3 linked regions of the Danio rerio genome follow. The protein of the gene in region 3 interacts with the protein of the main gene of each other region in a biochemical or structural test. Links are inferred from orthologs where the notes say so. Each region holds a gene or a part of one and is shown on either strand. Other genes may lie near its edges.

What was found.
Region 1: the proteins of xpo1b (region 3) and ranbp1 form a complex in vitro, tested with the Homo sapiens proteins (3 studies listed by BioGRID, with this or other methods). The link is inferred for Danio rerio from reciprocal best matches to the Homo sapiens genes XPO1 and RANBP1.
Region 2: the proteins of xpo1b (region 3) and adar form a complex in vitro, tested with the Homo sapiens proteins (2 studies listed by BioGRID, with this or other methods). The link is inferred for Danio rerio from reciprocal best matches to the Homo sapiens genes XPO1 and ADAR.

What each region holds. Positions count from the first base shown.
Region 1 is NC_133180.1:19,738,279-19,742,709, forward strand, and holds the start of ranbp1 (ran-specific GTPase-activating protein), read right to left. Parts: upstream 2,848-4,431; 5' UTR 2,692-2,847; coding exon 2,677-2,691; intron 1,482-2,676; coding exon 1,345-1,481; intron 1-1,344. UniProt on the Homo sapiens protein: Plays a role in RAN-dependent nucleocytoplasmic transport. Alleviates the TNPO1-dependent inhibition of RAN GTPase activity and mediates the dissociation of RAN from proteins involved in transport into the nucleus.
Region 2 is NC_133191.1:24,822,231-24,826,544, forward strand, and holds the start of adar (double-stranded RNA-specific adenosine deaminase), read left to right. Parts: upstream 1-1,467; 5' UTR 1,468-1,553; intron 1,554-2,856; exon of another isoform or gene 2,857-3,681; intron 3,682-4,314. UniProt on the Homo sapiens protein: Catalyzes the hydrolytic deamination of adenosine to inosine in double-stranded RNA (dsRNA) referred to as A-to-I RNA editing.
Region 3 is NC_133192.1:25,319,369-25,323,023, forward strand, and holds part of xpo1b (exportin-1), read left to right. Parts: intron 1-1,232; coding exon 1,233-1,334; intron 1,335-1,980; exon of another isoform or gene 1,981-2,055; intron 2,056-2,245; exon of another isoform or gene 2,246-2,312; intron 2,313-3,655. UniProt on the Homo sapiens protein: Mediates the nuclear export of cellular proteins (cargos) bearing a leucine-rich nuclear export signal (NES) and of RNAs.

The DNA of each region.
Region 1 (4,431 bases), on a different chromosome or scaffold from region 3:
ATAAGTAGCTATGTTTTTATAAAGAATGCTAATTAATAATGCACAAAACTGGAATATTGCATAAAAGATGTGTGAATAAAACAGTTTCCATCCAACAAGTCAAAGCAAACAAAATCGTCACTTACTAATTATATGGTGGCAACAGTAGAAACTGAATTGGCTGTGGTAGAAGAAGCTGCGTGAATCTTTTCTTCATTTAATAAATGACTTGCGCCTCAGAAGGCAATCCTGACACGCAGTGAACGAGTAGTGACATTAGAAGGCATAAGATGCGGAGCACAGATGCTCTTGATTCTGGAGGTTATTAATAATATAATAACAATAATATTGAAATAGTTAAGCCGTTTTAGAATCACCTAAACAACATGTCAGATGTTCACAGGGTGCTCAGCCAGCTGGTTTATTCATTCACATATTTTTATCATCACATGATCTCTTATAACAAAATCATATGACTTTAATGCATATACTGAAATATATTCGTTAAAAGCGTTTCCATCAGTTTATGCGCATCTTTTTATATCGAATAAAAAGTTTATCCTACAGTTATGCGCATAAGTTTTTATACACATTTTGGCGTTTCCATCAACCAGTTTTTTATGAGCATATCCATAATGCGCATAAAAATAAGTGGATGGAAACAGCTAGTGTGATATAAAGTGCTCTTAGAATGCAGTTACATGGGATTTTTTATTTATTTATTTTTTAATATATTAAAAAACTAGGGCTCCACGATACTATAAAAAAAATAGACATTGAAATATTTTTATTCACTGCGATATAAATGAATATAAATTTATATAATTTAAATAAATTTCAGCAGATGACAAATAGCTTGTAAAGAACTCAATTTTAGATCGACTGGGATGATTCTGTAAGGGAGCATATCTGCATAAAATATAATTTAAAAAAATTACAAGCAAAGTTAAATACAACAGAGAAAAGATGCAAACAAACGAGGATTTATAATTTTCTGGGGAGTCAAACAGTATTCAGAAGCCGAAATTAAATGATCACTGTATAACAACAACACTATCATTTTAATTGAGTAAATAACTACATAATGTCCAATCAGTCTTTAAGCTACAAACGTTTAATGTATTGTGCCAAAATGGCTTATATTTGCTTCAAATTCCTACAGTCAAGTCTTAAAAACAAATGCAAATAATACATTTTCATTCGAAGGTTAAAATTTTTAAACAACGCCACTATGTTGTTAACCGTATTGTCTGATCAACTACATTGCAGATCCCTGTGATGAGACTGTTGTGGACTCACATTGCGATATCAATGCTGAAATCATCTACTGTGCAGCCCTAATATAAACCTCAGTTAATGACTTACATCTTGAAAAGCTCCTCCTCATCCTCTTCTAAGGTCTTAACGTCCTGCTCGGGTAGTGAGACGATGGGCTCAAAATGAGGGTCATGGTTGGATTCCTCAACGTTCTCAGTGGATGGTTCATGCTCATCTTGTGCCTCCTGGAGGGGAAAATTAAAAGAGCAGCTTTTATTAAATCAAACTTAAACATGACATAAGCTAAAACAGGTATTTTTGGAGAACGCCACACATTTACTACAGTATTTGTTCTGCTGAGGCTCACAAGTCCTGATCCCTTCTGTGGGGATCCTGCTTCCACATTACTCATCAGATCAGTGGAGTGAAAGGCTGCGGGATTTGGAGGGATCATTCTCTGGAGTTTGGCCTATTGTCTCCAAATTTGCTGCTGCAACCAAACTTGCATCCACTGGTGCTTGAACTCGCATGCTGTGATGCTGGCGGAATCAATGCACTTGCTCTTCACTAATCACTGGTCTCACATTCATGAAGGCCTTGTAAGCTTTAATTATTGAAAAGCTTTCTGATCAACTCTGGCAGATCTTCTGCACATGATGTGATGCTCTGAACCGCTCCCAAGTTGATCACTTCGCATTTTCAGAGCTGAGCAGCTTACTTAGCTAAACGACTGACTTGACTGAAGACCGGATATCAGATGTGTATGAATTAATGTGGGAGTTAAACGAGTTTTCAAAAGTGGTCAGTCAGTTAAGTTAGCATCCAAGCTAGAAGCTGCTAATAAGCGGCCTAAAGGCGTTTAAGTGCTCGACTCGTAGTTTCGCAGCCCATATTTTGCACTGCTTGAGCAAATACAGTTAAATCACGTAATTAACCCCGGAAGAGTGTTGATAAACCGGGTTTGAACTTCACGTGCCGCAGGTTAGCAGTGCTAACACACAAGCTAACAGTGCGTTAGCATTTCAAGCTTTCGAATTAAAGTATGAGCCGTTTTTACTTGGAGCATGCGAGGAATATGTTTATTACGTTCCTAAAAATCAATATTTGCTTGTCCTTTGTGTTTAAGCAAGTAGCGAGTGCTAATCGACACAGAATAATGAATTTTAATAACGTTACTGGTGCTACTGAATGTAAAGCGTGATTGTAAATAAACAAACGACTTTGACAGCGTATGAAAAAGCAATAGTGAGTATTTAAAATGACACCAAGAAGTTCTAACGTCTGAATATCCAAGCGCACAATGCAAAACCGGGAAAACACCTGCTTTTTACAGTCTGTTAAGTAAGACCCTCATAAAACATTTATCGCCAACAAAACAACCAAAATAAGCATCTCTCGCTGTTCGAAAGACACAGAGGCTGAAGATGATGGCCCTCTTACCTTTGTGTCCGCCATGGTTTTTGCAGATGTTTTTCGATTAGAGAGAGTATCTGTTGGTTTTGATCAGTGCGAGCTCGTGAGATTTCACTTCGCTACTTTCGCGCGCGCATAACCGGAGAAGAGAGACGGTGACGTCAGCGCAGCCGCGCTACGTCATGGCGCACTTCAGCTACGCACAAAGTTCTGTTAAATCCTAAAAGAAATTATTTGTTATCACTCAGAATCTTCACATAAATCTAAAGAATTTATCTTTAACTTTTTTATCTTGTTTAGATTTTTTTAAACATAAGCAAAAGTGCATGGCTTCAGTCCCTACTTTTGGACATTTTCTGATTGAAGGTAACTCACTGCTCAAATCTTTCCGTATGTGTCAAAACAAAAAATGTGTCAAATTACTGGTTCTATATGAAGAACTGTTGTCTATTGACTCTGCGTTGAGTTAGATAGCTTTCCTAATGCTCTTAATTTATTTTCATACACTTTTTTTACAATTGTAATTTACTTTGTTTTGTTATTCTTTTTTCTTTCTTCAGCTTAGGTAGTTTGTATTTTTTTCTCTCCTTTGTATCTCTCTCATATCAGTCTCCTGATTGTGGTTGAATATTAGCATTCTTTAATAAATAAATAAAAAGTGCTGTTAAATACATGTTTAGAGAAATTCGGTTTTGGGCCCTTCTTTTGTAAGGGGATGAGTACGCTGTATGACGGGGGAAATAGCTCAGTGAAATGAGGACATTGAACTACACAGAGATTTCTATTAGAAAGAGGAATTCGGCAAGGCTGTCCAGCCTCTGTGTACCTGTTTCTCATAGTAGCCCAAGCCTTCTGTCACTAGAATCCAAATTGCTAGACGAAATGTTTTAATTAGTCAGTAAGCAGACGATACAGCCTTATTTGTAAAAGACTCAAACCAGGTTCATCAGGTTATCAAATCTATTCAGTTGTTCTCTAATGCCTGATGTTTGCACCTAATCTCCTCATAAATTGTGAAATATAAAAATTCTCCCCTATTATCTGTAGAAGGTATACCAGTTGAAGAAGCTGTTAACTATTTAGGTGTTGTCATTTCAAAAAATGAACAAGATAGAGTGTCTATTTTGTGTGTGTATTGTTGTTATTATTTACTTTCTATCACCCTGGCATTATTTTACTATACTGTCACATATTTGTTGTTTAACGCATATAATAGAAAAAAAGAAAAAAGAAAAAAAAGTTCTGTTAAATACTGTAACAACAATAAAATCAAATAAAATTACTTCAGAATCCTACATACAGTTTACCCATGTGAATAAGATCGATATGGATGATATGTGCTGCTTCTGTAAAGCGGATAGAGCATCTCACATTTAGACCTGTTTGAATGTAACTTAATTTTTGAATGTTGAATATAGGTGTGCCTAGCAAAATATGCCTTTAGACAATGTTTGATAATTATGATACAATAAAACATTGATATTTTTTCATATTACAAAAACAAATCTAATAAAGATCTGGATTTTTTTTGATAACCTCTATTGGCAAAATGTCATATACATAAACAAAAATGTGCTAAGTCATCTCCTATGTTAACGTTTTTTTTTATTTTCATTTCATTATTTCTTCTGTGAAACTGCTGAAAAGCAAAATATCTGAGATATGTATTAAACGGGCTACTGCAAAAAAAAGAAAAAAAAAGAAAAAAAAAGAAAGTATCTCCCCGATAATCTTTTAAATCACTGTACACTCTGTTAATTGTGTCTCTCTCTGTGTGAGTGT
Region 2 (4,314 bases), on a different chromosome or scaffold from region 3:
ACTGTGCTAATTGTGTTTAGAGTTTTGAAATTATGACAACTGGCTGAGCAAATGCTTGTTAGCAACTGAAAATTGTAGGTTTGAGTGTAAATTTCTATGCATTCAAGACATAATTGTTAACATGTAATGTGCATTCTTCATTGTACAGATTATCTTAATTTTTTATTTATTTATTGAAAATAATGCTATATATTACACTTTTACACTTAAAAAAATCTATTTAGGTCTAATAAATTATTTATTTATTGTAAAAATGTGTTTAAAATTATAATTTTATTCAGTCAAGATGTGTTTGTCCAAACATAGGTTTGTTTACTTTATAAAAACACACCTTTTCAGCTTTATTAGCATTATTATTTGGATAACACTTTACAGTAGTCATGAATAATGCTGTGTTAATATGTTAGCTAAACATTACTTTATTATGAACTAATGATGAGTTAATGCGTGCACTTATCATGAGCTAACTTTAACTACATGAGTCACAAGAATTCATGTGTAAATAACGGCTACCTTAATTACTTGTTAGTTTACGATTGTTTAATTAACATATTAATTACACTTTCATGTAAGCTTAATTTAGCCGTCATGAACTCATGATATTGACGTATAATTATATCATGACTTTACTTGAAGGGGCACATCATCATTAACCCATTCTTAACTACTCATAAACTCCCTATGCTTATCTGTCTAGTGTGTTTACCCTGAATAACAATAGAAAAGCATTCTGTCAACATCAACACGAACAGTTTAAATACAGGAGTTCATGAGTAATTAAGGATGAGTTAATGATAATGTACCCATTCAAGTAAAGTCATGACACAATTATACATTAACAGCTCATGAGATCATATTGGTTAAATTTAGCTTAAACTTAAATGTTAAATAATAAATTCATTAACAACATGTACAAACAACTAAAGTAGCCATTATTCACATATGAACTCATGCGACTCATGTTGTATTTAAAGTTATGATTAGTGAATGCCTTAATCACTAATTCACAATAAAGTAATGTTTAATTTACATATAGACGCATCTTTATTCATGTACTGTTGTTGTAAAGTGTTACCGTTGTTTATTTGTTTATCTATCTATCAATAAAAAATGTTCTTAATAATATTTAATGAATGTTACACATATGTATTTACAACAGTTTGGCACTACACTACTATAATTTTCTACAGAGCCCCTAGCACTCCCCTGCTCCCCCTAAAATGGCTTGAAAAAATATATAAACATACTTACATTCATCGTTTTTTTTACTAGGTATAGTTTACAACGATGGATATTAACTAAATACATATACCAAATACCTCACATCAAACAACGCTCTAAACAAAGAGAAGTCTGTTTCTTTTCAGCACTGACCTATCGTGCTTCCATGATCACATTGCGGTTTCTTGCGACGTCGCACACGTCATCAGAGAGCGTCAAAACAGCGTCGCAGCTCCGCGCCACACTTCATTGTCATTCAGCAGCGTTGTGTTTTCTATCTGCATGTGGCCTCTGGCAGGGACGCGGCTGGATTGTGCTCGTCGTCTGCGTATGTAAGTATATTTACGCCATACTAACGCCCCCCAGCTGCGAGTTATTAACAATATTTATGCAGAACTGGATGTGTGCGAAGTGAGAGAAAGACGCTTGGAAGCTGCTCGTTCCCGTTCTGTTTACCATTGACGTCGCGTTCTGCGCTCGCTCCCCCATCTCTAGTCTTGTGTCTGTTTATCATGCTGAATGTTTACAAGTGCACTACAGAGTAGAAAATGATTTGTTGCTGACTGTAATTGTTTATTTGTATTGTGGTATGTCGAAATAAATTGGGGCTAACGTTAGTCAACCTCCAGTGTCCTTGCTAACCACTTCTTTTTTGTTAATTGAAATGGCTCAAGATGATTATGCTAGTGGCTGGTTTATAAAGAACAAAAATAGTGCTGTGATATTATCATAGTCTTGGGGTTTACTTTATTTTAAATGCATGAATGTTTTTATTTAAAGCTTAAATTACTTAAATTCTACTTCAACAATAATAAAAAATACTACGTTGTGATCTAATGTAACTTAACCACTATTTTAGCAGCTTTTATGATGAATGCAGTCTAAAGTATCTTTAGTCAATGACTAAATACATGCATTTATAACAGTAAACCAACAAGTAACGTTACCATTCTGTCGTCTAATAATCATTTTTACCATTAGTTTAATACTGGATATTATATGTATTGGTCTAATTCATAGACTTAATGTTATAAATAGCATATACTTAACAATTATATATATATATATATATATATATATATATATATATATATATATATATATATATATATATATATATATCAGTCTTGTTTTGTTTGCACATACTTAACGTAAACTGATTAATAACTAGTTACAATCCCTAAATCTACAACTGATCCTAGCCTTAACCCTTATCTAAAAATATAGTCTAATTGTTTATACCTTACACCGAAAGTATACTTTAAATACACTAAAAGACATAAAGTTCACCCATGTACATTACATTATTGGTTCAATAATTCGCATTACGTGACAGCGTCTCCTTGTATGGCGCATATAATGTGCATTGAGGGAGAAATAATGAAGATGTCACTTCTATCAATAATAGATTAAATCGAGCATTAAAGAATAATGATACGACGAAAACAGCCATAATGTCTATACGATGATGTGTCTTTTAAAGCTCTGAGCTAAAAAGTTGCAACTTTGCGCGACTGTGTGGATAAACTGGGTTATGAAGCGCCCGAGGGAGACGTGTGTCCGTACGTGACCCGTATTCTTTCGGACTTTTTTTTTTTGGTGAAGTAGAGGCGCGCGCGTCCCCAGATCCTTTTCACCGTCGCGCGCTTTTGAAGATGTTGTTTTGCCTCTTCAGTCTTCGGTAGGAGGTTATAAACTGCAGTGCAGTTTCATGTCGGTCACGGTACTGTAACCTCATGTATTATGCATCTGGGAGGGTCGCAGGTGGAGGTTTGCTTTCAGTCTGCTGGCTGGTGAAATGTGAAACGAAACCAATAGTTCAGCGGCTATGATAAAATGAGTAGTGCGATGCAATATTAATATATCTTGCTGTTAACTGATATTCAGCAATATGGATACAGTAGTCCTGTGTGATTTTGTATGTTTATTATACTACATTTTTGCATTTATTTCACCGTGGGGTGACTTCTTTCAACTTATCTGCGTTTTAATCCTAATTAATATATTAGCATTAGTAGTAATTGCATGGTGTAATTACTGTTTGTAAAGCTGTAATATGTTGATTATTCACTCCAGACAGGGCGCCCCCTGCTGCCAGCGTGTGTAAACGCGTCTTGTAAGTGAGTGTCAGACAGAAATTGAAGAGTTTGGAGGAGAATGGAAAGCGAAACCTAAAGCGATTGTGACTAGTTCGCGACATTGCGCGTGTTCTCTCGTTTAAATTCACTGCTGACATCATTTTGCCCACTCGCTTTCAAAACAAAGTAATTGTAGACTCGTTTTAGAGTTTGTGCAGCTGAACTTTTTCCAAATGCAAACGGAGACAGCGTGTTGTTGGAGTGTGATCTTTCTACTTCATTTTCACTCTTCCTGCGGAACAGTGTTTAGTCTGTGCACGAGTCTGGGCCTCAGCTGCTTAATCTGTCAAATTCAGCTGTTTTATCCTCCGTTGTTTTTGCGGTACGTATAACTTAATATGATTTATCGTGTTGGGTTTATCTATTATTATTATTATTTTTACTTGTATAGTGTATGTTCTAAGTTATGCTCTAAGCCTGAAGCTGTGCTGTAATCCGAATTCAAACTTTAAATCAGTGATGCATGTGATGAATAAAGGGGCTAAGCTGGCTGTATGTTATCATACACATCCTATTTTTGTGATATTCTAAATTTGTTCCCACACTAAAACTATGCTAAATATATCAGATAATTTTAAAATGATTAGTTTCAGAACAATTTCAAAGCTACAGAAATGTATAATTAAATAATCCTACGTGTCGGATATGTGCACTTGAATTTCCTATAATAATAATAATAATAATTTGTATTATTATTATGTGAATTTAATCTGTAGCACATCAAACAAATGTAAATTTCATTGTTGCATTAGTGTAGCGAAATCTAGAAAATTTTTATTAGTTGTTGATATATTAGTTGTTGATATAACATTACATGCATCCGTTCCTGTTTTATGAACCATAATCATTTAGCACTATTTTAATAGTAAATAATTTGCAAACAAAATTCTTATTTTTTTAGCTAGTAGTTTTTAAAACAATTTTATTTGAATGACTAATTGGCTAAACTTTCAAT
Region 3 (3,655 bases):
ATTCCATTTATAACACAAAGGAGCTCAATCGAAAAGTAATCGAAATCGACATTTAGAACCTGTAATTGATCAAATTTTTCCAAGTAAATTTTTTCAATTACTTTCCCTACCATGTGTTGAGTTACGTGACCCCGCTTGTTCAAGGCCAATTTATCCTATTATATTCCATTTTATACTTCTGCCAAGGGCACATACAGTCCAGCAAAGCGTTCACATACCTGCACACTTCTCAAAAAAATGTAATTGCGCGTCACAACGACACGTTGCACAAGCTTTGTGATTGGTCAGTTTGGTAGAGGTGACGTGGGTGCGCGGCGTGGAGAGCCGCGTTTTAGGCACTGTTTGTCTTTATCTCAGTTGTTCAATATTGATGTTCAATAAATAATCATAGACAGTAGATAGTGTGTGTTTCCTTTAATTTTAATCAAGTAATGCACAATCAAAAATCTCTCACTTGTAATATGTGAGCACATTTACTGTACAAAACTTGTCAGTGAACTATGAGGGCAAAAACATAAAACAAATAAATTAAACAATCTTTCATTAATCGTAATCGAGTTAAAATGTTTAATTAATCGAGATTTAGGTTTTAGGACAAATCGTTCAGGCCTAGTTCATGCAGAAAACGGTAGTAAATCTGCACCTGCCTTTGCATTGATTTGCTCACTGATGTATTCTGCATTGTTCTCTATCTGTTGAGTGACAGTATGTTTTATATATATATATATATATATATATATATATATATATATATATATATATATATATATATATATATATATATATATATATATATATAACAGATTCATTTACAACATTAAATTTGAGTTTACTTTTGTGTAGCTTAACAATACAACAAACAAATGAAAAATTTTGTTTAATTGGATTAAATTGAATTAATTTATTTTTATTAGTTATTTAAAATCCTTAGGGTTTGCAGAAATTATGTATTTTTACATGAGGAACCTTACTGTGACATTCTGTTACCACTGAAAATATTCTTCTTTCGTTTAAATTCAAAATGCATCTTAGAAATAAATTGTACTCAAAAATAATATAAAAAGTTGGCAGCTTTTTACAATTGTACAAATATATATATGTCACTTTTTAAATGGCAGTGTTTGTTTATTTACTATATACATTAGTGAATGCACTGACATCATTAACACTCAGCCAGTATATTGTTGCACCATAGTGTTATACAAGTTAAGATGAATGTTTTTTTGTTTCAGCAAAGAATGGCCCAGGAGGTGCTGACTCATTTGAAGGAGCACCCAGATGCGTGGACACGAGTCGACACCATTCTAGAGTTCTCTCAAAACATGAACACCAAAGTAAGCAGAGACCCAACTTGCTCCAGTTGGTGGGTCATGGTTTCTATACTTTGAGGAAGATCTGATCTCTTATCACACATCATACAAAATCACAATTTGGTTTTTGGCTCTTTCTTTCGAACCAGGAAGGTTGCCTTATGTAAGCAAGACCCTTTTTTAAGCGTACTGGGGTTGCTTAGCATCAAGTCAGAAACAGATTCCTTTGTGCACATGTGAGATCACATTTTCCTTCACTCTCCTCGCATTCGTTTCCTGGTCAAGAAAAGTCAGAGTTAAAGTTGATGTGTGAGGATCCTCTGTTGACGGTGAAATGCCTCAGTACCTCCATCTGTACAGCAGCCAGAGGTGCTTTGATGACTGACTGTTTGAGGTCAGGATGTATTAAAACAGTGATCCATGAATTCTTATTTTATCATTTTTATATAAAGGAAAGCAGAGGATCCATGTACAATTTCTGGTTTTACAAGTAAACATTTCTGCACTGATAAAACCTTAAGTCTTTTTTGTATTTGGGATGAATGGTTTTCCTCACTGTGTTAATAGACTTCCTCAAAGTACTGCTGACCCAGTTTGCCGTCTGCTTGCCTTTTTAAGATTGCTCTTAACACTCTGGTCATTACTAATGTTTGAGTTGATTTATCAACAGTATCGATAATATCAAAATGATAATGGCCCAAAAGTGAGGCCTCTAGAGGAACAGACAGGAAAAAATACAGAGCAGGTAAATTCTTTGAATTTGTCTAAATTGATCAAGAAAAATACAGAACGAGCGCTTTAAAGTGCTGTTGAACATTTGGCTTTTTGCTTAATTTATTTTACAGTCGGTGAAAAAGCAAACAAATTCAATTAATTGAAGTTGTTCATATTTGATATTAATCACAATGTTCCATTATGTTGATTGCTTGTAATAGGACGAAAAGGGGTGTGTCTTCCTGTGCACCTTGACACAGCTAGGCTTTGGCGGCAGGCCTCCACAAGGTCTACCTTTTCATTCCCTTACTCTCAATTCTGCTGTGCCTCCATTCACACTGCACATGCCTCATATGGAGCTGAGAGACGACAGGGAGATAGGCAGGCAGTTTACCCCATTTTTATTTCTACCCCAATCATGGGTGGTTACAGCTATTTTCACTGTAGGGATTATCAGTGTCTGTGCTGTGCAATCCGTTTTCTCCCTAAGCATTTCTGCATTTCTATCCTGGCCCTGTAATTTTTCTCCCAATCATGCACCAAGAAATGTTGCAACATCACATGTGAGCAGTCAAAATATAATACTTTGCATGCTGTTGCAATGTTAATATTTATTTGAATTCTTGGGACAATTAAAGGTGAACGCCTACTGGTGATTTTCATTGGGTGAAATACTGGGTTTCTGTGGGGTCTTAAAATCTTACATCTCAATTTACTGAAATATTATGTTGTAGGTCTTAAATGTTTTTTAAACAGGTCTTAATTTTTCTTTGTTCATATATTGCTACCCAATCTAGCCAAAACCCATACAATCACTAAGAATCCATCTCAGTAAAACTTTAAACTCTTTATAGAGGTCATTTTTAACTCTATTTATCATAATGGTTTAATAATTTTTTTTACAATAACATTTGTTTAAAATTCTTCATGTATTTTCTGCTGATGACACCGACCTGGACTGTTGGAATGTTGCGCATAGATTAAGTTTATAATTTGTTTTTAAAACTTTAAAGCTTTTGTTCATTTATTTTTTTTAAAAGAAAGTTTATGTTGGAAAAAAAGTGTATGGAAAGTAGAGCTTGCTTGTTTTTACACAATATTTAAATTATTTAGCTAAGAAATAAAATCTAATTTATTTCATTGTTTATTATTAATGTTATTTATTATTGTATTATTAAATGTATTAAATTATAATATGTTTTTTTTAATAGGTCAAATAAAAATATTTTTAATCTGGGCCATTTGAAAAAAGCCTAAGTCTTTAGCCCATTTTTGAGTTTCATTGATAATGGTCTTAAAAATGTCGTAAGTCTTAAATTTAACTTGGTGAAACCTGCAGAAACCCTGAAATCTTTGCATATGCAAGTAACCTATTTCTCCAGGCCTTCAACCTTTAATATCCTTCTGTCATCAGTATTTTCTGTTTTCCTTTAACACATTAACATTTTTGTCTCACGTTTTTTGCCTCTTCTTATTAATCCCTACAGTCGAAATGCTGATGATCCTAATAACACTAGTGACCATAACAAGGACACTAATGCACCATGAATACTTTCTTAAAAGCAGCATGTAAAACATTTTAAGGTAGTTTTATAGATCCAAACCTGTGGCTCGTCTTGCTGTTTTTGAGA